2 linked regions of the Arabidopsis thaliana genome follow. The protein of the gene in region 2 interacts with the protein of the main gene of each other region in a biochemical or structural test. Each region holds a gene or a part of one and is shown on either strand. Other genes may lie near its edges.

The links.
Region 1: the proteins of MKS1 (region 2) and WRKY33 form a complex in vitro, tested with the Arabidopsis thaliana proteins (one study listed by BioGRID).

What each region holds. Positions count from the first base shown.
Region 1 is NC_003071.7:16,101,563-16,118,360, reverse strand, and holds WRKY33 (WRKY DNA-binding protein 33), read right to left. Parts: upstream 10,127-16,798; 5' UTR 9,886-10,126; coding exon 9,643-9,885; exon of another isoform or gene 9,394-9,642; coding exon 9,187-9,393; intron 9,118-9,186; coding exon 8,585-9,117; intron 8,495-8,584; coding exon 8,333-8,494; intron 8,237-8,332; coding exon 7,822-8,236; 3' UTR 7,595-7,821; downstream 1-7,594. Other genes in the region: AT2G38500 (2-oxoglutarate (2OG) and Fe(II)-dependent oxygenase superfamily protein), read left to right, coding at 95-419, 515-751; CIPK22 (CBL-interacting Serine/Threonine-kinase), read left to right, coding at 3,157-4,452; AT2G38480 (Uncharacterized protein family (UPF0497)), read left to right, coding at 6,667-6,917, 7,005-7,128, 7,210-7,401; AT2G38465 (uncharacterized protein), read left to right, coding at 11,551-11,679, 11,843-11,968; IREG1 (iron regulated 1), read right to left, coding at 12,431-12,595, 12,722-12,832, 12,930-13,067, 13,242-13,413, 13,516-13,998, 14,102-14,449, 14,601-14,758; AT2G38450 (Sel1 repeat protein), read right to left, coding at 15,678-15,715, 15,809-15,878, 16,037-16,345.
Region 2 is NC_003074.8:6,424,810-6,439,798, forward strand, and holds MKS1 (MAP kinase substrate 1), read right to left. Parts: upstream 5,706-14,989; 5' UTR 5,615-5,705; coding exon 4,946-5,614; 3' UTR 4,725-4,945; downstream 1-4,724. Other genes in the region: AT3G18670 (Ankyrin repeat family protein), read right to left, coding at 41-480, 564-689, 794-943, 1,032-1,662; AT3G18680 (Amino acid kinase family protein), read left to right, coding at 2,724-2,938, 3,156-3,297, 3,392-3,445, 3,810-3,901, 4,013-4,239, 4,323-4,711; AT3G18700 (uncharacterized protein), read right to left, coding at 6,913-7,088, 7,446-7,511, 7,603-7,690, 7,816-7,869, 7,956-8,096; PUB29 (plant U-box 29), read right to left, coding at 9,425-10,672. UniProt on the Arabidopsis thaliana protein: Regulator of plant defense response. May contribute to MPK4-regulated defense activation by coupling the kinase to specific WRKY transcription factors.

The sequences.
Region 1 (16,798 bases), on a different chromosome or scaffold from region 2:
TTTTAGAAATTTTTGATGAACATTGCATTTGCAAAAAAATAATTAGTGATTGAGAATTTGGTTCCAATTTCTTGAATCTTTAATTTGGTTGCAGCCAAGAAATGGAGAATGTAGCTGATAAACTTGAAGATATAGCGAGGAAACTAGGGCAAATAATGGTAGAGAACTCAAGAAGACCAAATGATAAGAAGATACAAAGAGGAGAATCTGTGCTTAGCGTTTACAGGTACAATCATGAAAATGTAACTGAGCAAAGCCCTCCTTTGCCCAAAGAGAGGACCGAAGAAATGCTTCATTATACACTCAGCCTTCACCTTCCGGCTAAGAACTGCGAGTTCCGCGTCAACTCAGGGAAAGGTCCACTTTCTTTCCATGCTGATCCCGACACTATCCTTGTCACTTTTGGTCGTCAGCTTGAGGTATGAACGAACACTTAAATTAATACTATATATTTGTTATATGATGTGATCAATCAATTGTATAGTAATTTTGTAATAAATCTATGGAACTATAGGAATGGAGTTTAGGAGAATTCAAATGTCGTCAAGGAGAAATCATCTATCATCCTGATGCATATGGCTCGCCCACTTCCTTCTCCGTAGAGCTCAAGTGCATGTCTCTTTTCTTATCACACACTTCTATCGCAACAACCTCCAAAACATTCTCTTTAACCCATCAGATTTTCACTGCTTTCCTCCTACTTTTTTTCTTCCAATGTTTTTGGATTTATGGATCACGAATGGCCGCTTAGAATACTCATATATGTATATTTTCTTTTTGTGGGAGGGATGCGTTCATTTGAATCGTGGATGATCAACGGGTAAAATGTGTTTATCTACTAGGTGTAAGCTTCGGTTGTATATGTAAACCCAACACATAAAAATTTGTTGCTCCTAAAAAAAGAATGCCAATATAGAACTGATTGAGTTTTTCCTTTGTTTGGACTCATATCGACTTTGGATATTAACGCAAATTTTCATTGTAAGCAATTCGTGTGTTCTTGAATACGTTCTTCCTCTCTTCTGATGGGGTTGTGAATTGAGATAAAATAATTTGTCATAAAAAAAAAAGATGTAATGTAATGTCCTAATTAAAACTTTGAGAAAATAGCAAAAGCAATGCCTCAATATGTGACTTTTTTTTTTTTTTTGAGTTAGATCAAAAAATTTGTCTAATCATAAAACCATCAATTTTTTTTTTTATGCTTTTGTTAAATTCTTTTCGTAAACAAAGACAAAATGTCGTAGAAATCTTCTGACGGTTGGTTTTACAAACTTTGCTTCGTAGAGTTTTTTTAATAACATTTTTAAAGAAATCACACAATATATGACGATGCGTGAGAAAGAAGAAACGTCTTAAATTAAGAGTGAGGGTGGGTGTACGGACGATGTCGATGGCTGACGTACACCATCACGGTGGTAAAGACGGTGTCTCTTTGAAGTAGATGTCTTTATTCTTGATGACGATAACAATGAGAAGATCAATATTCAATAATAAAGCAATGGTGATGTATTTGTTTTTCAAAAGAATTGATGTTTTTAAATGGATCGATATAGCACATAAATAAGTTGACTTGGCGGTTGGGCATTATATTCGATGTGATGATTCGATGGTTGGTTTTTCCGGTTGGGTATGACTCCACAATGACGCCCGGATGTCATAGTCTAAATGACTGTGTGACCGTACGATAAAATCGAGATAACTTTTGAAGTTTGGTTGGGTATTACTGCCGACTGTTAGGTGTTAATTTTCATTCAGATAAAGTCAATAAACTAAAAGGCAAATAGATAGTAAATACCGTTACGAAAGCTAACACCTACATATTGGAACACATGAATGAATGAGCAAGAGTTGTTTTCTTTATTCGTTTTACTTTGTCGAGTTTTTGCTTTTGCATATTTCCTAATTCTTTTTTTAGAGGTTTCTTGTTTTTGGTCAAAAATTTACAGGTTTATGATAATGTTTTGAACAAGTTCACGTGTAAGGATTAATTTTTTGGCTTTTTCAACAACAAAAGGGGTACTAGTATGATTTTAATCCACACACGAATGACTTGGATCCACGAATCCAACTTCAAATTAATTATAAGAAAAACTTAATTTGCCCATCATTAATCCTTAGATAACAAAATTTCCAGCTATTAAAAAGTAATTATTATATGTGGCATTGAATTTCAAACAACATTCAAATTTAAATGTTATTATTTTGTCACTCAAATTTAAAGGTTATTTATTGACTGGATAATGTTCTTGGTTTGATTGGGTTGCTACGGTTGGATGCGGTTAAAGACCAACAATTTCATCAGAATTAAGGATGGTTGATTTGTACCCACGATATAACATTCGTGTCTAAACATCTTTACATGCACATGCAATGTTGCGAGATATAGTTCACATAAAATTTGGTCCGGTTCACTTGTCTTGATTTGGTTGTACACTTCTACCTGATGAATATATATTCTTATGTTTTAAGAACCAAATCATATCCTCAGAACTAAAGTACCATCTTAACCGGTAAAGAAGCTTAAAACATCGTCATGTATACTGCTTAGCATTCTATACAAAGTAACGTCAATCCACGTTGTTTTTTTCTTTCACATTATTCAAATATTTTTATATAGACGTTCTTTTTATTTTTGATAAAGTTTTTATTTTTGTCAACGATGAACGTTTAAAAAAAAAAAATATGTCGAGTTTTCCCAGCTCCTACAAAAACAAATAAATTAAGACTTTAAATCCCACCTGGAATTAGAAGGTTTTGGTTGACCTGACAAGGCAGATGTTTGGTAACAACAACATGAACCACACATTGGGGAAAGAATCATGAAAATTCCTTGAATCGTAAATTATTTCAGGAGAAAATGACTCTATCTCTAACCTGGTTGATATATCGCAACTAATTCAAATTAGTAAAAATCGAAAATGTTATCGCATTTTGAAATTGTCTTTTGTGAAGATTGTTTCTTTCATTTATTTGTTTAATGCATTTTATAATAAAGTCAAACTATTTTAAAATCTTTGTTTAAAATAATAGCTTACTTACGTGGCAAGTTGAGGAATTTCAATAAGAAGAGGCACCGCGCGCATGTCTTTTACAATTCCTAGACTGTTTCTCTTTACTCTGTTTTTTTGCTCTGTTTTTTTTGTTTGTTTGTTAATGGCCGAAGACTCTAATTCTTCCGAATCAATCATTGTTAACGTCACCGGAGATGATAATAAGTCGGCTTTGTTCGGTAAGTACGATCTCGGTAAGCTCCTCGGTAGCGGCGCGTTTGCCAAAGTCTACCAAGCGGAGGATCTTCAAAACGGCGGCGAAAGCGTTGCGATCAAAGTCGTACAAAAAAAACGTTTGAAAGACGGTTTAACGGCGCACGTTAAGAGAGAAATATCTGTCATGCGCCGCCTCCGTCATCCTCATATCGTGCTCCTCTCCGAAGTCCTCGCCACAAAGACGAAGATCTACTTCGTCATGGAGCTAGCCAAAGGTGGTGAGCTCTTCTCAAGAGTCACCAGCAACCGTTTCACAGAGAGTCTTAGCCGGAAATATTTCCGGCAATTGATCTCCGCCGTGAGATACTGCCACGCAAGAGGAGTTTTCCACCGTGATTTGAAGCCGGAGAATCTCCTCCTCGACGAGAATCGAGATCTGAAGGTTTCAGACTTCGGTCTCAGTGCGATGAAGGAGCAGATCCACCCCGACGGAATGCTACATACGCTCTGTGGAACTCCGGCTTACGTAGCACCGGAGCTTCTTTTGAAGAAAGGCTACGACGGTTCTAAAGCTGATATTTGGTCATGCGGCGTCGTTTTGTTTCTTCTCAACGCAGGCTACTTGCCGTTTCGTGATCCAAACATCATGGGACTCTACCGGAAAATCCACAAGGCTCAATACAAGTTACCGGATTGGACATCTTCAGATCTGCGGAAACTCCTCCGCCGTCTCTTGGAGCCAAATCCGGAACTGCGAATCACCGTGGAGGAGATTCTAAAGGATCCGTGGTTCAATCATGGAGTAGATCCAAGCGAAATCATCGGAATCCAAGCCGATGATTACGATCTGGAAGAAAACGGTAAAATTCTAAACGCGTTCGATTTGATTTCTTCGGCGTCGAGCTCGAATCTCTCCGGTTTGTTTGGAAATTTCGTGACGCCGGATCATTGCGACCAGTTTGTATCCGATGAGAGTACGGCCGTTATTATGAGGAAGGTCGAGGAAGTTGCGAAGCAGTTAAATTTGAGAATCGCGAAGAAGAAGGAGAGAGCGATAAAGCTTGAAGGTCCACATGGAGTAGCTAATGTCGTCGTTAAAGTTCGCCGGCTAACAAATGAACTAGTGATGGTGGAGATGAAGAACAAGCAAAGAGACGTGGGCTTGGTTTGGGCCGATGCTCTTAGACAAAAGTTACGTCGTTTGATTAACCAACCGGTTTATAAAGTTCCTGACAAACCGTAAAACGGTTTCAACACTAAACCAACAATCCGTGCGTTTTACTTTTAGAATTTTCAACGTACTACACTCGGGATCGAGACGCATTGTGGTTAACCGGTTCGGTTTACATTGGAGCAGGGAGAGTAATGGGACGATCCGCCTCTTTGTATATAAAAATGACAAGAAGAAAGAAAAAAACAAACCGGGATTCAATTATTTTTGTTTATTTATTTTCGGAGTATAATTTAAACACAAAAATTATTTGCTTTATTCATCGGAGAGAATTTGAATAAAACTCTGATTTGAACTTTGTAGCCTTTTATGTGTGACCGTGTGTGTTTGCAAACTTGGGCCTTATTTTGCGCTAAGGGACATGCTACACCGTTTGTAATATTTATCGTTGTTGATTTTGTTTGGCAATCGTACGAAGTATTTCAGGATCTTTTATGTATGAATGTTTATTTGAGTTTGTATTAAAAACATATATATGAATGTTACAGATTAACGAATAGTTGTCACTGCTGATTACCACTTGGCAATTCCGTTAAAACATGATTGGTATATATAACCGTACAAGTCTATAAGATAGATCACAAAATTCTAGCCAAAGCATCAATGTTTTATTTGTTTTGGGGAGTTTGTGGTCCAATGCTAATTTTAGAAATACAAAAACTATAGCTTCCAACGCATACATTTGATTTGACATAGATATATTCAGTAACTTTCTATAACAGAACTAGATAACCTATGTTATTTGGATAGTGGTGTGATCCCATTAAAAAACTTACTATGCAAATTAAATTAGTCGACGTCATAGAAAAAGAGAGAGAGGATTGTTATAAAGCAATATCAGCTGTCGGTAATTACGTGTTAAGTGTATGGTAAGTCTATCGAAGCTATCAGAGATAAGAAATAAGTATACTCTTATGAAATTAGCAAAGTTAAATTGTGTGTTTTGAAAAACAAATGACATTAAAATAAACAAAAAATAAATCTCAAACTCACGTCAAACACACGACCCTACCGTAACTCGACGTGACGCTAACGCCAAGCTCAGAAGATTTAGTGTGGTGGTGGTCAATGCAAATGTTGATAATTGTATCATCACGTTGAACTCTATAAAGTTTTATTTATTTATTTTTCTTTTCGATAAAAAAAAAGGTTGTGAAATGTGAACTCTAATAAGTTCCCAAAGCCATTACAAGTCTCTCACATTAAAACCTTCTTCCTCCATTAAGATCAAAATTGTTGTTATATTTGTTGAGCTAAGAACAAAACAGAAATAACTGTTTTTACAGTTATTGGTCGGACAATAGACTCAAAATGGATTGGATTTGAACTCCGTAGGTAACTTCTCTAGTGGACTCAACAAGTCTTGAATCATCCCCTTATCATTGAAAGCATCTTTAAGATTTTCTTTGCCTTGGTCTTCGTCATTGGTCCAATTAGAATGGGAACTTAAACTGCCTCGAATGATTTGGTACTTCTAATGCACACATCATTGATCTAGACTTATGGAAGTTCTTACTTATGCTCTTCATATTGACAAATGACAACAATCTATTTCCAAGTAATTTCCAATGAACTTGTTTTTTTTTGTTTTTTTTTTGCTAAAAAGAAATAACAAATTTCAGTTTTTATAATGTTTGTTTCCAACTCTTGTTATGTAATAAAGTTAATTAACATTCCTTTATACAGAAAACACAATCTTCCAATGAGAAAAAAAAAACAAATCAACTGTCCATAAATTCTCCAATCAGACTTTGATATAAAGCTTTCCATAAAAAGATTGTGAAGAACAATTCCATTCTTAGCACAAAAGTTATGGAATTGATTAAACATCCCAAATCCTAAAACCATATATTACCATATAGATTAGAAAACATTATCACCATAGAATAGATAAATAGATATAGAAAAATCTCTTAAAAATAATACCAATGAAACACAATGATCCTGACCAATGAGCATGCTTCGCTGTCTAAATGCAAGCCACGATTAACTAACACACATGACACAGAACTGTTAGTCTTAATCACATTGCTTAATGCTTACCAATTACCATAAATCACTCCCGCCACCACGCGTTTTCTTCAATTTAACATATAAAACTCGAAACCTTAATTACGTTTTCCAAAACTAATCAGTTTTTCTTTTCTTCCAAGTTTGTTATTCCTCGTCCCGAATCTTCGCATTAAAAACAGAACCAATTCCGACCAAAGTTTTGAGATCTGTAATATGACGAATCCCGATAACATGAAACCGGTTGAAGCTACTGACGTGGAATCTGCGGCGGAGAAGACGTCGGAGCCGACGCCGGCATCTGGAACGTCGACGATTACTCAGAGATGGAAAAGAGAGGATTTGATAAAGAAAGCATCTCCGATTACGAGAGGAATCTGTCTTTTGTTCTCTCTTATTGCTTTCTTAATTATGGTCTCTAATAAACATGGTTACGGTAGAAACTTCAATGACTACGAAGAGTACAGGTTCGATTTCCGTTTTTTGATACTGGAATTTGAAATTGGGTTTGCGTAATATCGATCAAAGTTTTGAAATTTCTTATATTGCTTCAGATATGTATTGGCGATTTCGATTATTTCAACATTATACACTGCGTGGCAAACATTTGCACATTTCTCAAAAAGGGAAATTTTCGATCGCCGGACTTCTATTTTGGTCGATTTCTCCGGCGACCAGGTAATGCCACAAACTGATTATCAATTCTCAGATTTATATATGTAAAGTTATGATTTTTATGCAAAAAAGTGAAATTTGCAGATTGTGGCGTATTTGCTTATATCAGCTGCATCATCTGCAATTCCATTGACAAACATATTCAGAGAAGGTCAAGATAACATTTTCACTGATTCTGCTGCTTCTGCTATAAGTATGGCTATCTTCGCATTCATTGCTTTAGCTCTCTCTGCTCTCTTCTCCGGTTACAAACTCTCCACTCATTCTTTTATCTGAAGATCTCTTTGCAATAATGTGCTTCAGTAGTTATATACCATTGTGATCTTTGTTATACATGTAAATGTCAATTCTTTTATGTGTTCTTATAGCTGATATCAACTTCTGTTATTTGGGTCTGTCAGACTGTCACTGTGTCTCCCTGTGTCACTGTGTGTGTGTGTGTGTGCTTCTTTGATTCATTATTCAAAGTGAAGAAACTGAAAATTGATTGGTTTTATTCCGTGTTCTAGTTCTATGGTACAAAGTACAAACATTAAACATATTACAGGCGTGTGAAAAAACAAATGAAAAAATTTCTCTATGGACTATAGAAGTCTGACTTACTATCCTGCAGGATAACTAGTAAGTAGTAAAATCCTTTGGTGGCAGAAATGTACAAAAGGAACATAAAAAAGGAACAACTGGTTCCTTTTTTCTTCAGGGCATAAACGAATCGAAAAATGAGGTCTCCTCGTTTGGTTCTTCCTTTGCTCTAGAGAATCCACCACCAACAAAGTTTTGTTGCGTTTGAAGGTTGCTGTTGTTGTTATTGTTGTTCATGGCGTAACCAAAAGGCCCGGTATTAGTGTTGTTGTTGTGCAGCATCTGAAGTGTATATGGTGCTTGAGAAGAAGTAGTGTAGTTGGAGTGACCAGCAATAGCAGCTGGTCTAATCGGGACTGAAGACGAATCCTGTGGTGCTCTGTTTGTGGCGTAACCGCTACCACGAGCTGCAGGAACATCGTGGTTGTGTTTCCCTTCGTAGGTTGTGATTACTGCTCTCATGTCGTGTGATGCTCTCTCCACATGTTTCCTCACTGGACAACCGATGGTTGTGCACTTGTAGTAGCTTCTGTTAAGATTCAGCAAATGAAAAGAAAACAAAAGGTCAGATTCTCAAGAACCTTAATTCTGAGTTATTGAGATGCACAATTGTTTATGTTATTACCTTGGATTTGGGTTTCCCTTAACGACTTTCTGGCCGTATTTTCTCCATCTGTAACCGTCGTCAAGAATGTCAATATCACTCGTTGTCTGCACTACGATTCTCGGCTCTCTCACTGTCTTGCTTCCACCACCATTCCCACCATTTGTTTCATTGTCCCCTTTCCTGAAAACACAAAAAAACATACATTTTAGAACTTTCATATTCAAGATTGTTCAAAGAGTAGCAAATTTGGAGGGTGATGATGATCTGTACCATCTCTTTGCTTCAGGTTCACTCCCACAATCTTCTTCGTCTCTGCTGACAATCGATGAGCCTTGTTCGAACTCATCGTCACCAACAGAATCAGAAGTAGTATTATCCTCTTGTTGCATCCCAAAGGAATCAGACTGATGAAAGCTATTATTGGAATTAGGCTGATCAGAAGAAGCTTGACGATTATGATCCAAACTGGCATTGTACACAGCTGAATGAAAAGTCGAAGAAGACGAAGAAGATCTTCTAGTAGACTGAGGTTTAGGATGGTTGTGGCTTCCTTTATACACAATCTCTGTGATCTGACCTTCCAAAGATCTCTCCACTTTCTTCTTCGTTGGACAATTAGGGAAAGTACACTTATAGTAACTCCGAGGATTCTCACTTCCTTTCACCTGTTTTTGTCCGTACTTTCTCCAATTGTAACCATCCTCTCCTTTCCTTTGCTCTCTTCCATTGTAAGATACAGCTTGATTGTTTGGACGAGTCTCGGTTTGGCTCCATTGTTCTGACTGGTTCTTCTTCTGTTGTTCCTGAAACTCAAAACAAAGTTATAGAAAAACTCATAAACAGAGGATTTGAGCTGTTGATGAAGTACATACCTGAGATTGAAAGATAGAACTGTTTGTTGTTGTTGTAGTTGTAGTTGTAGTTGTAGTTGTGGTCGGAGCAGAAACTCCTGATGATTGTGTGTGGAATGAGAAATCGAATAAGTTAAAGTTGTTGTTGTTGCTCTTGTCTCCTTCATTTATACCTTTCTGGTTAGTTACGTTTGTGATTAAAGCTCCTGTGGTTGGAGAAGCTAGAACCTGCAAAACAATCCCAAGAATTGTTCAGACTTCAAGAAAAGAGACAAATAGCAATAACATAATTAAGAAAGAGTCGAGAGTTGACTCTAAAAGTCTTTCTCTCTCTTTGAAACCGTTGACCCATAACTTTATCACTTCCGATCACGATTCATTGTCAAGATGTTAAATCAATGATACATCAAACACAGATTATCATCACTAATTGGATTCATTTCAAAAGAAACAGAGAAAAAAAACAGAGAGGCTTACGTTAGCAGAGGAGGAGACAAAAGCAGGGGAATCGAGAAAAAGAGAGGGACTGAAACAAGTGGAAGGAGAGACAAGAGAAGGAGAGATAGAGATTGAAGAAGGAGCAAAAGATCTGAACTTTGGTATCTCAAGATCTTCCAAAGAGGAAGTAGATGTTCTTCCGGATTGTTGTGACCAATTAGCAGAACCATTCATGTTTTGTCTGGTTCTGCTATTGTCCATTGTAAGAAAAGAAGCAGCCATACGAAAAATGGAAGTTTGTTTTATAAAAGACCAATTTCAGATATATATAGAAAGGAGGGGGGCTTGGAGAAGAAGAAAATGAGAGAAGTGATGGTTCTTGTTCTTCTTCTTGTTTCTGTATATTTGTTGGTTATGTCTGAATATATAAAACATATTGCACGTCTGATTGGTGAATATTATATTATTTTAAAATTTTGTTTAATTGTTCGTTTTTATTTTTAGGGTCACATATGAAGAAGAGTAGTTTCTGAGAAGGTGATAAAAAGTTTGACCGTTGAAAATATGATTAGAAGAAGAAGGAGAAGAGATAGATTGGTCAGACCTTGTGGCCTTGACTCTCAAACGTTGAACGGATTTTTTGAGGGGCGGCTCAATGCTTTCATCATCTTCATATGTCTCGTTCTGACACGTATGATTTATTCTTTATACGATGTTGTAGTATTTTTGGATCAAAAATACAAATTCAAACATTTGGGATTCTTGGCTCTTGCTCAAAAAACCTAGAAAATTTCGGAATCTTGAAAATTTTGACTGTAGGTGTACTAGGAAAGGTTCTCTCATATCTTTAAAGCACATGACATGAGTGTAAAAGATTAGTATTTAGAAGTGAGTTTGTGAGTATTTTACTATTTTTAGCAAAACCTCCTAACTAAAGTCGATATTAAATCCATGTGCGGCTGTTTTTGGTTTCAATCTATTTTTTAGGAGACTTAATTCTACTATGAATAGACTAATTGAACACAAGATTATTCATTTAAAGAATACTAGAAACAAATATTTATTAGAATGTTAAATTCTATGATTATCAAACTATTTTGTATCCGTATCGGTTTTGATATAGAGATAGGCTACAAATTGACCCTAGATAACATTTTGTAGCTTCCGATCAATAAATTGGTATAACTTCTGTCGAAGGTAGGCCTTTTTTTTTTGTATATATGTATTTGAAGTAGCCATAAATGTAATAAGAGAATTACATATTGTGTATATATGTATTTGAAGTAGCCATAAATGTTCTTATTGAGATGTCAGGATGTTTGTCTTCCATCACTGCTACCACGTCTGGCCCTCTTCTTTGGTAGTCGTCTCTGTTTTGTACATAAAACCTTACTCAGTTTGTTGTTTCCTTAACTAGTCTTGTAATATTTGTTATTTGCTTTTTTTATCTAGACGTCCTTGTTTTATATAAACAGTCTATGTACGTTGTATTGTACAATGTTTAATATCAATAACAACACCCTTTGGCAAAAAAAAAAAAATTACATATCGTGTCAAGCATAGTAGTGTAAATTGTAAATCGTTTAGGTATATAAAAGTGATCAGTTTCTTATTGCACGATATGTGGTATGGTTCTTCACGTGGAACCTAAATTAAACGTCATGGATTTTGTGTCGCTTTACCGTGCAAGTTGCAAACTATGCAGTGTTTGTTGATCCGATGACAGTTTCTTTCTTCAGCCCAAAAGCCCAAAAGGCCCAAAGTAAAATAGCCTCTTGCTTTAATACACGTCGGTATCTCTACAGCTAACACGTAAAACAGACGTGGCAAGAGTTGCTTCCAGAATCATTAATAGTTAAAAAAAATCATCATTGGCACAAGAAAGTGAGATATTTCCTAGTCTTGCTTTCAAGTTTCAAGCAATCTATCTATCTCGAAAAAGCAGCGATGCAAGACGCCGAGACATCACGACAGCCGGCGAAGTCTTTGTCCGATCGAGTGAAGACTAACTGTTTATCCATGGCAGTAACATGCCAGGAAGGGTTTAGCTATGTCAAAGCCTTTTTTGTTGGCCAGGTGCGTATACAAGAGTCTTGTTTCGAGCCACTGAAACAAGCGGATCAGAGACTCATGGGTCTTCTTGAATCAATGATCACTTGACGTATTTGGTGTCTCGTTAATTTCCTTATTGATTAGTTTCATTTTGTTATAATCTTTTATTTTTATTTTGGTTTGGAAGACAAAGAGATTGACGGCAAAGAACGAGAAGGAAGCTACGGAGGCTCATCTAACGGAGACAAAAATGCAAGTTGACGCAACCGATGAAGCAGAGAATGCCAAGAAGAGACTTCATCAATCTTCTTAATGTTTCTTTATTAACATATAATAATGGAGTGTGTACTTTATTAAGCAAACACAAATATCTGGGAGTTTTCAACTGTTTCTACTACTAATGATGAATGTTATTTCAGTATTGATTTTTAATACAGAATTCTATTCCCAAAAGATAAAATGGAAAATTTTCATTGTTATTATAGAACTACATAAAAGTGAGTTCATACAAAACAGAGTGAATTCATACAAAAAACGGAGGAAAGTTGTCTTTAACACATCACAAAATTGTCACTGAAAGTTGTCTTTAACACATCACAAAATTGTCACTGACCTATTTTGTGGGTGTTTTCTTTTGACTATATCTTTGACCTATTTAACCAATCATTTAAGCCATTTGATTCATTTTTGGCTGCTTTATGGTCATGTCATAAAACCACCCCATTTCTAGTTATCCATGTCGGAGAAATCGTGGCACATTCCACAACATTATGAATTACACGTTTCCACGAGAAGGGAGCAACTTGAATATACATTTGTTCAACAAAGGAATCTTCTCAAGATGAAAAATATGGTTTCTTATGCGGTAGAGGTGAATTGTATAGAGCATTCCTGCCAACGATACTGTGGAGAATGAGATCAACGTCAATATCCAAAAATCCTGAAATAAAAAAGTCCATAAATATTATGACCTTGATTGTATGAAAACGTAAATTTTGCATTTGATGGATAAAAAGAGTCATTATCTATATATGGATCCTTAGAATATAAACTGGAATTTATTTACCTTTGGATTGGAGACAATGATACCTAAAAGATATGCCATCAAGTCAAGAGCCGATTGCAGTGAGTTCTGAACACCTCCAACCACACAACGGTCGGATTCTGAAACAAGATCCTAACACATGACCAAAAACATTACGAAACGTTCTTATTATAAGTCTTTAAAGAATACGTGTGCTGTAACTATATAAGCTAAAGAAATGTAAACATACCTGCATTTGTTGGATGACGGCAAGATCAAACATCCACAAGCCAAGCCTTGAAGCAGCAACTCCAGCCATTAGCATGTAAGATGCTATTTTATCCTTTTTAACCCAAATCGATCCAACGCAGACCAAAAGGCAGCTCCACTGTATGAACAACAACCCTACTTTTATGACTCTTTTGTTTTACTCGAGTTCCATAACATGGTCAAGTACATATATGATACACTTAATATCTAGTGAAGAATGAGAAAAAGACTTGTTATAACCTGTAACCAATCAGATGAATCAAACCATAGGTGTGTTTTCAAGTTGATATACCTGAGACCAGAAGGACCAGAGGCCGGTTCTCAGAGTTGAGAGACGCGATTGCATTAGCGGATACACTAATGTAGCCGCTAGTCCAACCGTTGCACTTATTCCCCTGCCTATACCGATGATATATGTAGGTATACCTTCCCACTGCAATGTAGCCGTCATCAATGTTCCAAAGCTGTGTCAAGGTGGTAAATAAAACAACAATGATCCACATAATCGGTAGGATATGCATGTTCATCTGAGGACTCTTAAACATATAGATAAAGAGAAAAGGAACCTGAGGACGGTGAAGAACAAGAGAGCTAGAGAAACCCCGGGGAGGACAACTTCTTGATTGAAATAAATTCTCCATGCGCCAACAAAAGAGGACTTGGACATTCTATCCAGTATCACCAAGATTCCGGTTCTAGACGGAGGGTTTCCAGTATAACCCTCCTCTGTTCCCGGAACAATAGAAACAGAAACAGGTGCATCTCTTCCTTCTACTTGCTTTGTCCGGGAACGCAAGATCCGTCTCTCATTGCTTCGTGTTATTGCAGGAACACCGCTATACACAGAAATGAAGAGCCAATATTCAACCCAAGCTGTTATAGTAGCCCAAGCTGCAAAAGTGATCGCTGAAGCCTTAAGTGAGACAAAACTGATGATCAGACCAGTAATGACTGGAGACAGTAGCTTGGAGCTCAAATCAATGCCTCTAATGACAGAATTCATTTTTGTCAATACTGCTGGTGGATGACCTTCAGACATAACCACAGCCCTGTTGGTTGCCAAAAGAGCCAAAAGAAATACATGTTGCAAATATGACACTATACATAAGATTGCATTCATGTGTTGCAAATATATACAGTCTAGACATTTACCAGTCTCGTTCGATCAGAATGGTGCCAGCAAGAGTCGAAAGAACTCCAATGGCGCCAGCAAGATTCGTTAACACAATCAAGATTGCAAACACCGGGAGATTCCGGGACTTAAGATCAGAAACTAGCAACAACTTGATGACTGCACCACCAGCAATAGTGTAGGAGAGGTTCTGGAACAGGAGCCAGAGTCTAAGAACTTTAACGTAGTCCATTCCCTCGACCCATTGCCCCACAATGGGACCAAAGATTGCAGTAGAACCAGATTCTATAGCACCATAAATGGCAGCGAGAAGCAGAGAGTTTGGCCACAAGTGGATCATATACAATGCAACAGAGAATTCCCATGTTCTGCATCACAAAACCAAGAAAAGAAAGTAGTCCATCATCTTCAAAACGTCTAACACTAATACACTATGAATAAAGTTTTATATCTTCATACAATAAAAAAAAAAAAAAGAGTTTCAAAATAATTGGAGATAAAGGATTGATGGAAACCTACCTGGCACTCCATCTTGCAAGAAAATATCCAACGTAAAGATATATCACGAAACGACGTCGTAAGGCTGGTGGTGGGTTTTGTGGCTGTGATTCATCTTCTCCTTCTTCGCGTTGTTGTTCTTCCTGATGAACAACCCTCAATTCTGTCTCATTCTCCATTTTCTGCTGGAAAGTCTCGAATTTAACATCGATCAAGCGATTAGGTGTTGATTACGTATTGAATTCCAAATGAAACATGACATCTGTAGATATTTCTACAGTCATCATTTGCATGAGCGTTTTAGTGTGTGACAACAAAGCCGTCCTCGAGAATTGCGATAAATATGAACTGCCATATTAACAATAGTTTATCCTGAAAACAAAAAACGATGATTCTAGGAATAAATGAGAAACAAAAACCTTATTTTAGCGCCGCAGAAATAGCTTTGTTGATCGAATGATGGAAAAAGAATCGACGAAACTCAGTATTACTTTGTTCTAGAGTGGTCCTATTAATATTGGTGATTCTATTTCCAAAGGGATGAAAATTTGTTAGTGGAGCAAAAAACAGATTCCCACTAGGCACTGGGAATATTTATGGTTTTGTGTGCAAAATGACTATGATACAATTACATTATTTTATGGTTTTTAGATTTTAAGATTGGTTTAAGAAAACAAGCCAGTCTTTCCAATGCCTATTCTAAGTCATCGGAGAAATTATAAGTTCGTTGTTATACAAATCACTTATCGAACGAAATGGATCTAAGTAGTATAAATGGATGTTCTTCTTCTGAACTTTTTTTTACCCCGCTGATATTGTTTACTTTGGAGTTTGGAACATAGAAAAAGTAACAAAACAATACGAGTACCTTTTTTAACTCCTTTTCATTGCTAGAATAATCATACACTGTGAGCAAAGGCATTCACCAAAATTTAAACAAAATAAAAAAAGAAGACATATTTGAGTAATAGAGCTACAAAATGATTAGCAAGCATCAAAAGATATGCGCAGAGAGAAGATATTGTTCATTGTTGGAACTTGGATCATCCAAGATTGAAACAAAACAGAACAAACACAAGCTCTCTCGATCAGGACATGCTAATCAGACTCTGAATCTGAATCACTTGCGTTGTAACCTGAGAAATCACAAAAAAAACAAATTCATATCCAAAAGCAAAAAAGAACCAATTTGTTGATAAACCAATTTTGACATGTAATAAAACAAAGACCTGGTCGTTTATCTATCACTTTCCACACTGAAGAACGAACTCTTGATGCTTTCGTAATCCAAAGTCTCCCCTAATCATTAATAAAACACAGAATCAAATTCAAAAACCTAAAAAAGAAGAAACTTGCAAATCAATCTAATCAAATTAGAGAATTTTCAAATCAACCAAACTAAAAAAACCTAAAACTTGGAAAAGAAGAGATTGAAAGGGAGGGAATAAAGACGAAACCTTTCTAGCATCCTTAGGGACTCCATACCCAGAGTAATACATCTGACCTAACAAAACCTGCATAGTGATGTTCCCAGCTTTAGCTTCCTCAAGAGTGTCTTTAAACCACCGCTTCGCACAATCAGAAACCACCGATGAAAGCGGAACGAAACGTCGTGTAGTTTCGCTGGTGGTGGTGGTGGATGATGAATCTTTGTCGGAACTGTCCATGGAGGAAATGGGTCGGATCGGTTTTGAGGATTTGATGAATCCAGCTACTGCTGCGGAAGCTCCTCTTAGCCCTGTTTTGACGGGAATCGATTTTCCCATTTTTAATTTATAAACATAAAAATAAATAAAAGGAAAAAATCGGTTTTCTTCTCAATCTCTTGTTTGGTTTTGGTTTGGTCTCATTGTATAAAATAATATTAAAATATCTTATGGGCCTAGCTCTTAAGCCCACTAGAATTTTTTTATTTTTTTCCCTAGCCCACTAGAAATTAAGACTAGCTCCTTGCTATTTCATAACGGTTACTGAATAAAGAGCTCTGTCTATATAAAGGCCATCATAAATTCTTCACAATTGCATTCTTTCGCTCTCGTCTCCTTGTTTTTTTTAGTAGCATGAGTTCGTCTAAGGTTTTGAGTTCAGACACTATAACGGTAATCAAGAATGATATCTCAGGATTTTTCACTCTCATATAGTTTCTTTTAGCCCTAACGTCTCAGGTGTGAACCCGGTCGAGGCTGTTGCTTATGGTGGTGCTGTTCCGGGTGGTATTT
Region 2 (14,989 bases):
TTTCTTGTGTAGCAAGATCATATATACAACTATGTATCACCTTAAACCATTGTAGTTCCCTTTGCATCTGAAGAGCTGCACCAGGAATGAGATTAAGCCTTGAGGCTGGGGCTCTATACGCGGCGTGATGAAGCATATTGTTATGGAATATGTCCCAATTTGTAGCGAGGATGTTCTTCTTAGCACCTATATTGTAAATGAGGCTAAAGATCTTTTCTTGTCTCTGGCTTACCGCGTAGAAGAAGATGTTAAGACCACTACTATTTTTGGACCATACGATATCAGGATAATGCCTCATCATTTCCTCGATATACTCTACGATTCCATTCTCTACCGCCTTAAAGAGAGCTTGGTTTAGACCAGCGTTCTTTTGTTGAGCCGCGTCAAATTTAGGTATCTCTTGACAGATACAGTCTAGTATTTCTTTAGCTTGAGCATGTCCTAGCTTTAGTTTGTATACACGTCTAATTATGCGTGGAACTGTCAATAGAAAGTTTAATCTAAGATTGATAAAAACAAAAACAATGAGGGGGTAACAATTTGGGATGGTAATTACTGCTTACAAAGATATTTGAGGTGTTTCATCAACTTCTCTTGAATCGAATTATGATCCTGCGAATTCCTATATTGATGGTGGTGATGGTGATTATTAACTTCATGAGGGTTATTAATCTTCTCTATGTGAATACCTTCAAGAGAAAAACCATCAACAAAATTAAAGCCTAATAAAATCAAACTTCCTAATAACAAAAAACGTTATATCTATTTTAAAGCATAAGGTAAGTATACCCACAAGAATATATCCACCGTTGCCAAAATGCAAGACGGGTACCGCTAGGAAACGCATAAGGTGTTTGAGCAAGCGCCATGATCGCTGTATCGTTATCACTGTCTCGAGTATAAGCCAACTTAGGATACCTCTGAATCAGATCCAAAGCAATACCTTTATGTACATGCGCCACATTAGCCAAATCTCATGAACAAGTAATGATAATACACGAACATTTATAAATCATTAGTTAAGAACTTACAATATAATCCATCGACAATACAATTTGTCACGAGCATCGCTCCGTTCTTGCCCTTGTGTTCATCTGAATCATCACAAGGATCAAGATCACTGAGAGGTGTGTGACTGTAAAGATACTGAACCAAATGTTTGTGACCGTACAATGAAGCCACCACGATCGGTATATGCTCTTTCGCATTCCGAACACTGACCAAACCAGGACACTTATTCACCAAACACTCTGCAATTCTTACAATTCCACCAGTGGCAGCATAAGTAAGCGCTGTATAACCATTATCGTTCTTGATCTTTAACACTTGCTCTGGATCATGAATTCTTCTAATGATCTCTTCCACGATCTTGATGTGACCCGACAAAACAGCTTTATGGATTGGAGTGTCTCCATTAGAGGTTAAGATTGCGGTTAAAGCTTCAGGGTTTCGGTCCAAGAAGTCTTTCGTGGCTTCCAACTCTCCACTGTCTATGTTCTTGAAGAGGACAAGATAGGTCGAGTTCTCTTGTCGTATCTCGTCTTTTTGTAGATCGGCTGCTTCATCGATCTGCATACTATCAAACCGAAAGCTTCTGGGGCCCGTTTCTGGTCGTAGACTCTCTGCTCTGAAACCTCTGGGATAACCTTTCTCGGTATCCATTTGTCGGTTGCTTCTCCCGCAAGAAACGTGGTGGTATGTGTTTGTTTAAGTGTAAAATTGTTCTTTTATAATTTTTCTGTAAAAGAAAACATATCTTTCCGTTATTCGAACAGAGGCACATGAGTAAAGTGTTAAAAGAGTTGTGGTGGCTTATCTTTGAAGCAAGGTTTCAAGGACAAAGAAAAGAGACAAGGATTCAAGTAATTAAACATTATAATAAACTGTAATACGAATAATCCTTGACTATTCATACCATGAAAGATTTCAAGATCATTATCAGTGTTTTTTTCTTCTTATATGTGTTTGTTACTTTTACTTTTCCCGGGAATATTTAAAAGATCGAGCTTTAGTGTTACAAAAATTTACGTCGTTGCAAAGCAAAGAATTTAGTTTCACTCTTCAAAAACAATGTTACTTGTAAATTTGCAATTAGTAAACTTTTAAAACTTGAACTTGGTAAGAAAACTCATATTTTTCAAGTCATTGAAACGAAAATAAGAATGCTTTGTGGTTCTTCACTTCTCTTGTAGGATGCAAATGTAGTTATTTCAAACCTATTAATCAATTGTTATAAAAAAAGAAAAAAAACCATTGGTCAATAATAAGTACACATAAAATAGTGTGAATTATTTAGATATAAGAAAATATCTATCTATTTGTAGCTATTTGTTATATGTAGTGCACTAAAATTGGTGTTCAATTAAATTTGATTAAAAATTACATTTTTTATAGAAGTATATGTATAACGTATGTTAAAACTCTAAAAGACATTTTGACATATATCAAAATTTTCTAAATATATTCAGAATTTAATGAAAGTTATTCGTTTTTGTATGATAAGATAAGATTAAATATAGTGAATTATTGGGGATATAATTCAAATATATATATATATATATATATATATATATACACATTAAATATCACAACAATTCATTTGATTAATTAGTAAATTACATTGAAACCAGACCTTATCTTCTCAGACTTAAAACCCGTCTTTGCCGGCGACACTTCTCTACTGAATATTTCAGTAAATAATCTCTTCTTAGATCTCTCCGGCAATGGCAATTCCGTTGCCTCTTACCTCTTGCTCCCCAATCTCAACTTCTTCGTCTATTTCCCGAACCTCCTTCGTCCCTCTTACACTTCGCAATCGTACTTTCTTCTCCAACCAGAATTACAGTAGGCGTGTACTTATCAGCTGCTCTTCTTCTTTGTCCTCAGACAATGGTTCATCTCCAGACTCCATGAACGGAAACGGGAACGGGAACGGGAGGTATTATTAATCTTCAAGTTTTAATCTTTACGCCCACCAGATGTTTGTGAAAATTTGTCAATGAAGATACTTCTGGGTTTAGGGTTTAAGAGTTTATTAAAATATATTGCAAATCTGATTTTATTGTTTTGGTTGAAGTAAAACTTAACCCATTTATAATGTTTGGAACTTTGGCTGATTTTGTTAATACTCTGTTGCGATCATCTGTAATTTTCAGTAGCTTAAACGGGCAATCATCTTTCCCACGACTGCCTTCCTTTGATGGAACATCCAAACCACCGCTTAAATGGAGAAGGGTTTTACTCAAAGTCAGTGGAGAAGCTCTTGCTGGAGACGAGGAGCAAAATATCGACCCAAAGGTTTATTGTGATACCAAAAGAACCCTCCTTGTTTTGCTTTCTTTGTTCTCTGTTTCCTTACTTCAGAAGTCTCATCCAGTTTCCCGTTAATTAGGTTACTATGGCGATTGCAAGGGAAGTTGCAGCAGTGACTCGACTTGGCATTGAGGTTATTCTCTAAACGCTTCATTCAAACATTCTTGTTCTAGTTGTCATTGTGATAATTGGATTCAAAATTTTTTAGTGGATATGTATTCAGCTTTGAGTTCTTCCTATACATAAGTATAATACCCGAAGTATTTGATAATTGCCTGTGTAGATGTAACCAAATATGCTGGAAATCAATTAGCTCAAACTTACAAGAAACGGGAGCTTAAGTTAAGGGGTGGAGATATATGGCATTACACAACTTAAAGTTAGAAATTTGTTATGATTTAAACATACTATACGGCAACAGATCATGTGTCTGGGTCATTAAGAATCATTGCAATGTTGTGTGTGCTCTGTCTGATCTTCTTACGCCTTTACAATAGGTTGCTATAGTTGTTGGAGGAGGAAATATCTTTCGTGGATCTACCTGGGCTGGGTGCAGTGGCCTTGATCGCTCCTCTGCTGATTATATCGGGTAATCATACGCCTTTGTGTCAAAGGATCTTCTTCTTCTTACTCGGAGAAGATCCAGAATTTTCCTCTACTGGAGGTTTTTGGTCTCATTGGTTTATCTGAAATTGGATAGGATGCTGGCAACTGTGATGAATGCAATATTTCTTCAAGCGACAATGGAGAGTATTGGCATCCCAACCCGTGTTCAAACTGCTTTCCGCATGTCGGAAGTCGCAGAGCCTTACATAAGAAGACGAGCAATCAGACATCTAGAAAAAGGAAGGGTTGTAATATTTGCAGCTGGAACAGGCAATCCATTTTTCACCACCGATACTGCAGCGGCTCTTCGATGTGCTGAAAGTAAGTAAAGAGGTGGTTTCCGTTTAAGTTTTCTCCAATGATTATTCGCAACACTAAAAAAAAACTTTTCGCATTGGACACAGTTAATGCAGAAGTAGTGCTGAAAGCAACAAATGTTGATGGCGTGTTCGACGATGATCCTAAAAGAAACCCAAACGCTCGTCTGCTTGACTCACTAACTTACCAAGAGGTCACCTCAAAGGACCTCTCTGTAATGGATATGACTGCTATCACTTTGTGCCAAGAAAATAACATCCCAGGCTTGTTTTCTATAACACTCTCTCAAACCTTGACCACATGCATACATGATCATCTAAAATACAACAAGAATGCTTATTTAGTTCTGTGTCAATTTGCAGTTGTGGTATTCAATCTTTCGGAACCTGGGAACATCGCCAAAGCAATCAAAGGAGAGAGAGTTGGTACATTGATAGGAGGAACTTGGAACTCCATTGTTACAACAACCTCATGAAGAAGCCTATTCTCAAAACACAAAACTTATTAGAGTATCTTAGGTCAGGAGAATCTTGTAACTCCTGTATATATTAGTTTGCAGACAAGTTTTACATTCTAGGAATCTGTCTGAAATTTTTGAAAGTTAATCTTTTTATACATGAAGCTCATTTTAAACCCTTTGGGCTACTACATTGGATATGTCAAAATACATAATACAAAAAAATTACAGAGCAAAACACCAAAAAAAAATCTAATCTTGATCCCAAATATGACTAAAGAAATCAGCAAAAGTTGGTGAAGCTACCAAACTAGTAAAGCCAGGACTTCGAAACGGGCTCATAAATCCCGCCGGCGAGAATAATCCCAGTGGTATAGCCGGCGAAAACATCCCACCTTGATGATACATCGGAGAGAATATCCCGGTAGAAGCTGTTGGCAACAAGGCCGGAGATGGCGAGAGTATTCCCGGAGCATAACCACCAAATTCAGCTGCTTCTTCCATAGCCGTGTTGATTTCCACCGTCTCATCTCTCGCAGCCGGTTCTTTTCCTCCTCTTGGACTAGCATTTTCCGTGGACGCTAGCCTCGCCGCCGGTGAAACATCTCCACCGCCGCCAGATTCGAGGAAAACACCAGAGGAGATCCCTGTGAGTCGCTGGACTACGTTCATGAACTCAGACGCGGTTGCGTGTACAACCTTGGGGGATACGGCGTAGATAACCACCGGCTCTCTAGGAATATACGGCGGCGGTTGGTCACGATTTGGCGGCGGCGCAGGGTGTTTTGGAGGTTTCTTGATTTTGTGAGAGTCTTTGTGAACACTAAGAGGTGAAGGACGAGGACCACAGATCTGAAGCTGCCGCTTCTGGTTCTGTTGATCGGAAGGATTGCCGCCGGCAAAATACTCCGACGGATCCATACTTGGGAAGCTTCCTTTTTTAGAATCAAAACTTGTTGTTCTTCTGCTCTGTTTGGTTTGGGAATTGAATGTTTTGGCGACTGAGAAAATTGACCAAAACAACAAAAAAGAGAAAGAAATAAAAAGTCATCAGAACGATTAGTTTGACTTTAAAAAATGTTGACTTTTTGTGTCTCCAACCAAATTGTTACAGCACATGCTTAATTAGGAAACTTCCATTCTTGTCTTAATGTTAGATAATTAATTAGTAGGAAAGATCTTAGGAATCAACATTATCAACGGCACACAGTTATATATATTAGTAATGTTGTCAATCATTAACATACAATTATTAGTGATAGTTCTATTTAAGTTTTACAAGTTCTAGAAGTTGCAAATTATGGTAACAATCAATTTCTTTCTTTCTTAGTACCTAGCTAAGCTATTAACGTCTGCATGCATAGAAGTAACAAACCTAATTAAGACCTATCATATGAGTTGTTAAAAAAAACAAAAACATGTATATTGTATAGGGTGAGTTAAATATATATACTTAGAAGACTAAGTAATTAAGTATCTACCCATAGAAATCAGATATTTAGTTGTCTTTTGTCAGCAAAAAAAGAAGACGAAATTGAACCTATGACCAAATAAGATCTACATAAACATACTAGTCCTCGTTGAAACATAAATGATTTTATTAAGTTACCTGATAAAAGAAAAATAAACTGGCTTTGGTTAAAAACATTTCTACATAAAAATATTACTAGTCTAATAATTTTTCCATATATAGATAATGATAACAATGAACATATATTATGAGGATGGTTGCTAACAGGCTTTCATTTGTTTATCCAAAGCCCATATCAATTCTAGTTTGGTCCAAGAAAATAGCTGATCAAAGTTTGAAACTTTCGAGTGTAATAATATTTTCAAACAATTCGAATAAAATAAGAGTGTATTGAGAAAGTAGTTACTTTTTAAAACATAATTTTAAAAGTAGTCATTTTATTATTTATAATTGTAAAGTAATCATTTTTCGTATACTTACATATGTACAATACTTTTAGTATATATATATAAATATATATACTTTGTATATTGAATGTATTGTATAAATTTATGTGTACGAAAAATGACTACTTTGTATATTATAATAGTAAAGTGAATACTTTTATAAATTTATTTTGAAAAAGTGACTTATTTTCAACTTATTCCCTAAATTAATAACTATAGATATATTTTTTAAATTTTTATTTAGTTTAAAAACTACAAATTTAGGATTGTTTGAAAGCTACTAATTTAAAAAGATAAACTACTCATAGAAGATGACTCCAACATGGTCCTTTAGAAACCTCTCCAGTACTGTCGTTGAGTAGTGTGGGGGAATTGACAGACACTTGGTACTCGTGGTTCGGCGCCATATCGAGGTCCGAATTTGACGATGCCTTAGTATCAGGGAGGGCTGGCAACGACGGACATGGGTACTCCTCGCCTTGCTGAACCACATCCACCAAACACTACAGGTCGAAGGTAGACTCAATGGCTTTGTATTTACAATTTTGGTATGAAGAAAGCTAAGTTTTAAAAATTCTAACATATTCATAGTCATTGAGTTGTTTAGTGTTTTGCATAGTTTCTAGAGAATGTTTACTAGTGTCTGGTTATACATGCAAACGAAACAATTTCTATTGTCATGGTTCCAAAATAAAACAGAGCAAAACGTTGCATTTGAAACTACTAACAGTTATTATAGATGTAGATATGAACGTGACTATGAAAAGTTGGAACTTTTGTTTTCAAACTACCAAAATTTGGATATGAAACTAACAAACAAACAAAAAAAGTTCACCTTTCACTTCAAATTTGATGTTCTTAAACTTTAATCCGATTTCATTTTCCACAAGGACTGCCTTCTCTAAAAGATTAAGAAAAGGAAGTTGAAAAAGTTATTACAAAAACAACATAGAAAAAGTAGCATCTGAAAGTATTTAACAAAAAAATCTCACCTTTCATGTTAGTTTTGATGTTCTTAAACTTTAATCCAATTTGTTTTTTCACAAGGAATGCATTCTCTAAAAACTTCAAACCATTGTCCTGCTGAGGATTTCTCCTCGGCATGTGGATTTGACATTCAAGTTATAAAGCAGGTGTTTTAGAGATTCCTTGCAGAGATAAAAAATGGCGAGCGCGGTAAAGACTTCATTAAACATCTATCGGACGATTCTCTTCAAGATACAGAGGAGATTTTGAACTCCTTGGTATAGAAACATGAACTGCAAACAAAAAAACATAGAACTTTACTCGCAATTCAGAGGAATTTAGGGTTGTTGTATAGAGTTTATGTGGTAACTTTGGATACCTTGTAACTGTAGCGATCTGAGACATCTTGATCGAAAAATCGGAGAGCAATAACAAGAAGGGAAGAGAAGAAGATGTTGAACAACAAAAACCAGTTGTTATTTGTGGGTTGAGCAGAGAAGGATGTGTAGGAAGTAGGCATTGTCGTAGAAAAAAATGGTGACACCAAATGTGATGTTCTTGTAAAAGAAGTAACATAACTGGCAGAGATATTAAAATAAAAAAAATGAAATTTATTTTGGAGGATAATTTAATAGGGTATCAAAAACATATGGATATATTAAAAATTAAAATAAGTTGTAGATGATATTAATATCCATATGTTTTTGATACTCTATTAAATTATCCTCCAAAATAAATTTCATTTTTTTTTTAATTAAGTTATAAAGTTAAATAAGACAAAAGATTATGGATTCTGAAACCTTCTATAATATCAACTCAGATAATTTTAATTGTTTTACTAAAACAATCTTTATTGTTCCTCAATCAGTTTATATTTATTATATCGTATATAATATATAAAAAATTCATTCAATCTGAAAACTTACGTGTATAGATTCCTACTATTCAAAAAGATAATATTTTCCGTTGCAAATCAAATGTTGAAACAAGTACCATTCAAATCAAAATTCGAACAAAGGATAGAATATAAAAAAGCGGGTGGGTGTGAGAGAGGCATGACCATGAAATGTTGCAACGTCCTCTAACAAGAAAGAAAAGTAAATTTGTTAAAAGGTACTAGTTTACAAGATAATTTAGACATTAGAGACCAGTTTTCGTTTGTCACTTCAATCCAAAGGGAAGAACCTTATTCCTATATTTTGGTTCAGTAATAAGCAAAATTGCATAACCATCCATTTAACTCATAGTAATAAAACTTTTAGTCAGATTCAGTGAACCATACTTTAACTTAATCTAGTACACACTTACGAAGCTGTCATTTGAATTCTTTTGAACCAAAAGTATCTATCTAGTCACACTAGAGAGTTTTAATTTATAGCCTTAATCAAATTAATCAGATAATAGTCACTCGATGCCTTTCCCCACCATCTAAACTTACAAAATCATTCTTTTAACTATTGATTTTGTTTTATTCAAATATTTTTATAAACTAAATGTTTGAAATTATGCCGAATGATTCAAATTGCGAATATTTTAAGTGCATATCCATCTTTAAACCTTCTTTACTGTTTCAAAATAATGTTTTTGAACACACACAAGTTGTATAATTGTGTGACACAAGCTACAAATTTGAAAGAAAATGATATATTTGGCTCTAAATCGTGTAAACTATTAATGTATCAAATTGTTGCTATGAGTAATTAAATCGTATAATTCTCAATTAACACGAGGCAAATATTAGTAAAACTGACAAAATTTCTCATAAGATTTACAACATCTATACGTTCAAAATAGTTTGATAATAAGATTTACTTATATCATATTTATTCATAATGTACTACTAAAAAATCAAAAAGGCATAATATGAGTAGTCTTGGTCTCGTAAGCAGCCAAAGCAGAGGAATTAAACTTCAACACTTTAATCAAATCTTTCGCCATTTGTCTAACCATCGCCGAACAATTGCTCTGTATCACCACTAACAGCTTCGTAACTCCGTTACTTCTCTCCACCGTCTCTTCCACCGTCTTATCTTCCCTGAAAACATAACACAAACACCACAAAATCGTCACGGCGTGTTCCGTCGCCGTCGTCGATACTTTCAAGAGCTTCTTCACCACTCCTTCCACACATCTACCATTGTCGTCTCCACAAATCTCCAATCTCCCTTCTCGCTTTGACGATAAAGTCTCTAACAGCTTCAACGACTTCTCCGTCACGGCAACGTTTGTTAACGTCTCCGTCAGAAGAATGTCTTTGATCTTCGTGATTGCTTTTGCAGCGATTAGTTTCGATCTCACTCGTTTTGATTTGGAGATTGTGATTAGAAACGATAAACTCGCTTCGATCAAACTCGGATCTGACGACTCAGTGATACTTATCGATTTCATCATCTCTGTTAAAACTCCGTCACGTTCTGCTATCATAAGCTTTGATTTAGCGTCGAAGGAGATCCAATCCAAAACCCGAACCGATTCGATCTTCGATTCCAGATTCCCGCGTTGAATCGCTAAGAGAATCGCCGTTAAACAATCTCCGCCGTCATTCGCCAACATCAGATTCGATAACCGTTCACGATCTACTTTAATCGAATCCAAAATCCTAATCGCCATTATAACTAACTCGATCTTCGTCTTCTTCGTGCGTATAATATCAACGAGCATTGGTACGAACTCCATCTTCTTCGAGAGAAACTCTCTGTTCGAATCCGAATCCTTCACGAATCGAACGATCTTCATCAAATTCTCCAGACTCATCAATCTCTCCAACAACACATTCACTTCTTCCTTCGTCGGAACTTCTCTACCAGACGGCGGATTCAGAACCGGAGAATCACCGTTGTGACGACGGCCGATTGAATCAGACCAGATATTGATAAGACGTTGAAGAGTGAGGTTAGGAACAAAATCTTTAGTTTTGAGAAGTTGCATAGTAGCGGGACAAGTGTTGTTACCACCATCGAGCCATCTCTGGATACTGGCTCGATCATAAGTCACGCCGGTACAGAGACTAACCGGAGATCTCATCACGTCAAGAGATATCGGACATTTGAAGAAACTTGGCACTGTAATGTACGTCTCTGTTTCATCTCTCCCCATCAGAAAAAAACAACAAAAGAATCAGAGAAAATCTGGGCAGAGAAAATGCGGGAAAGTGAAGATGATGCTAAGTGAAAGGTGAAGAGAGAAAGTGAGTGGAGGTGGGATTTTAAGAGAGAGTCAAACGCACGCTTGCGTCACCGTAGCAAGATTATACTATATACTATAGTAGTAGTGTATTAAAGATGTTAATGTTGATGACAAGTCAGAAATTTTAAAGAATCAACAAAAATTCTGGTCATGGGTCAAAAATCAAAGAACGTTTCAGAGTCAGGGGATTGGGTCAAGTCGTAACCGTTAAGATGTGTTGTTGATGGGAGGACTTTGACCAACGGTGACGATCTTTTATTTATGCTTGCTTACACGTGTGAGTTTGGAGGCCAGAAGCGTGTGGGAGTGGTGGGACATGTTCTCTGCACGAGTGGCCTATTTTGGTCTCGTCGAGAGCACATGGGTTTGGTCCATATAATGTCCTGTTTTTAGTACTTTTTTTATGAATGAAATTTAAAAACAAATGATTACAAAAGCAATGTTATAATATTTGTGTTACTTAAAACAAACTCTGAGTCAGCAAATGTGGTACAGATATACAAAGATGATATTGGTCCATGGCCGAATAATATTTTGATGACATTTATGTTTTGGATAGTTTATGTCTAATGTTGTTGATAAATAAATTGTGTTGTGGCTTCCACTAAGGAGAAAGAGTGTTTGATAATTTTATTATTCGAGCGAAGGTGTTTGATTCGGGGGAAAAGTAAAAGCGTTTTTTTTCTTTTTCGGATTGTCATCTTCTGTTGAGTATAATGTTTGTTAGATAAATTAGACTTTTTTTTGTGATGAGCAATAACGTATATACAATTATTAAAGTATTCGAAGATACATAACATTTTAGCTGTCTGAAAAGTATAATGTATATATGTATTATGGTTGGACTGTCTTATTGTCTAATGAAGAAGATGTATAACTGGCTCATAACAAATTAGGGGGTTGTATTAATTATAATTCAAGTTCAATGGATTTGAGATTGGTCTTGATTTATTTATTAATCATTGCTTTAGTTGCTCACGGTTGTGCCATTTTTAATATATATAATACATATGTTTAGATGCTAAAACAAGGTGGTGCTTTGCATTTAATAATACATAAGTTTAGATGATTAGTTTTACTTTTTTCACGTACAATTAGTTTGTTGCTCTTTTTCAGAAAAAAGGTTAATCGTATCTCCTTCGATCCATTAATAGTACGTATAGACGTATAGTTTCTTACTTTGAATAGAAGAAAATAAAAATAAATTTGAATTTTTTGAACCGTAGATGAAAAGCATAAGGTGATGACCGAAAGTTGTTGGCCTAATAGTAAAATCAAACTTAAGTGTTGAAAATATTTCAATTTTCAGAGGTGAGAGGTAGGAGTAGGATGAAATGCTTTGCTGACTCGTGAATCATTTATTTTGAATATGTTGGGACAATAATTAAGTTTCTTATTATTAGGTCAACTTTCAATTAGGTTTAGCATTATTAAACGGGTAAGATCATAACTAATAGCCGTTAAAAAGAGTGTAAAATCGTATCAACCTTTTAATAGACATCGATCTAGCTAGCACTTGCCGATATAGCACGTACGTGTATTTAAGTGAAATGAATGGTAATCAAAAAAAAATTTCTTCTCGTTGTATTTGTTGTTTATAATCATTCTTATGGCAGGTAAATGAATTGAGTATCAGAGTATGTATATATTAACTCGTGAGCATATAATTGATAATAGGGTAAATTGCACCGAAAGGAAATAAAACTATAATGATGCCAACGTGCATCATTGTCTACAATTAGCAATTATGCCAAATCGGAAAAACATCTACGCCAATTATCTCACCTTTTAATAATTTTACCTCACTCATCATCTGATCCATCCATTATGGTTGTTGGTGGACAATAATTTTCATTTGTCCTCATATGCAAGGAACTAAGGATAGTTTTGGGAGCTTTAATATTCTCTTTTTTTGCAACTAATGTATTTCTAATCGAGGGAACATGTAATTCTAATAAACAAAAGAAATATACTAACGAAAAAGAAGATTTTACGTACGTCCTATTTTGTCATTGATAATACATATCAATCTCATAGAAACTGCAACTTTAAAACTTATTTTGTTTCATGTAATTAGTTAATAGTTAATTCACATGGTGTCATGGTCGATGACTATATTTGTTTACCGCGAGATTTAAACTAAAAATAGAATGAGATAATATACTCAGTGATAAGCTTTTATCGAAAAGAAGAAAAACACATTCAGTGAAGATTAAAAACGTTAGTCTGGTTGTTAAATGGCAAAGATAAATCTGTATGAGGCATATTCAATGTTAATTCTCCATACATTTGGGGTGTAAATAATTTAAACTAAATATAGGGTGAAGATAGAGATATGAAGAAGAATCCAGTTCCAAAAGTGTGGGGTTGTATTATTATTCAGAGGTTGCCATTGGCAGAGGCAACTCGTTTGCATCACATGAAAAAAAACATATCCAGTGTCATGTTCCCATTCGAAGTCGACATCATTCAATTCTTAGCGAGTTATTTATGAGGAATTTTCTAGAATATTTGTAAGGAATTTATCAGATTTAACCAGCTTTTTTTTCTTCGATTCAGATTTGGTACAGTTGATTTTGTTGTGTAGTATATGTTAACTTCAACACATTATTAAATTTGGGTGATATAAAACGGGTAATTTATATGGTAAGAAACATCTAAACGTTATGATTCTGATTAAATCAACAAAAAATTGGTAACCGCGAAAATGAAATCCTTTTATTGAGGCGGGCCAACTGATACATATTCAATACATTAGTATATAGTACTATTTTCTTAGAAAATACACAATTACCAGAACTAGCTTTTGTCAAAGAATGACTAGAACTACCTCCAAACGTAATTAGTGTAGAGGTTAGACGCGCGGCCTCCGAACAGATCCATATAGCATCTAATGTTTTTCTTTTCGAATATTGATTATAACCTAATCTACACATAAAATTTAAAATGCTATTGATAATAACATACTAATGATGAAGATTTTTCACACGCTACGGGTAATTAAGGAAGATGATGAGAGTAAAATGAGGAACCACAAAGTAACATAGGAAAACAATGATATAATTCATTCGCGTGCGATTTACATATAATTTCACAACAATCTACTTTTGTTTGTATCATGTAATAAAGGTCATCCTTTTGTTCCTTAATATACGGGATGATTTTGATCACACATATTACGTATACATGATCAAACAAGAGTTCTTTAGTATATTTGAAAGAATTGTTGACAAGAAAGAAACAAGGTTTCGCATGTACGAGGGGGTATCTGCTCGTGTGGGCTATACATGTTTTTGAGTAAACGTGTCGTTATATACATGTAACGTACTGAATATATAGTTTTAAAAAGTTTGGAACATTGTTGGTTGATCATGTGACCAAATTTATTATCTTACACTTTGTGGTCTATCTAAGTTGGAAATTTTTGGTTAAAGGAAATTGCTGACCTAGATTCATTCATAAATTTTCAGGTTAAAGACCAAAAAAGTTATATCTCTTATCTATGACTCGTCATTGGTGCTGGAATTTGATATTTTTTTCCGAATTTTATAGCTAGTTAGTATATCGGTTGAGCTACAAAACTAGAATAGTATGACTTTATTTTATTTGTGGTGTGATTAAAAAAATCAAATTATTAGATTAATTATTGAGAACTATACAGCTATAAAGGTATCATCAATATGCATTTATGTTAACCCACATATAGAGTTAAATTGTGCTTGTTGAAACAAAACATCTTAATCGATCGGTGACATGCGGGATTTCGTGTTACTTGAATCACAAAAATTTACGAGACATTAACGACTAGACTACTAACAATTTGGATATTATCTGAAGAAAAAAAACTTTTAGTAAAGTGCCGTCAAAAAAATGGAAAAACTTTTCGTAAAGTCATATGAGTAACCATAATGGGGACTGCATAAGCCCATTTGAATGGGCTTGAATTTGATGATTAAAAAAGCAATGGCAATTATGTTTTTTCCTTGTCAAAGCAGTGCAATTATGCTTTTAATTTCCATCTTTTCCGTAAACATGATAGCTTAACTGTTAGTGGCCGGAATTTGCAAATTTCTAGAAAGTTTAAAGTACCGGTGAATTTGAAATCGGATAATCAGTCTCTACTTTATTAGAATCATGTATGTAAGCTATATTCGATAGTGCATGATTGGTTAAACTCATGTGTTGAGGCTGATAAACTTTTTTTATATACTATGAATTGAACTAATG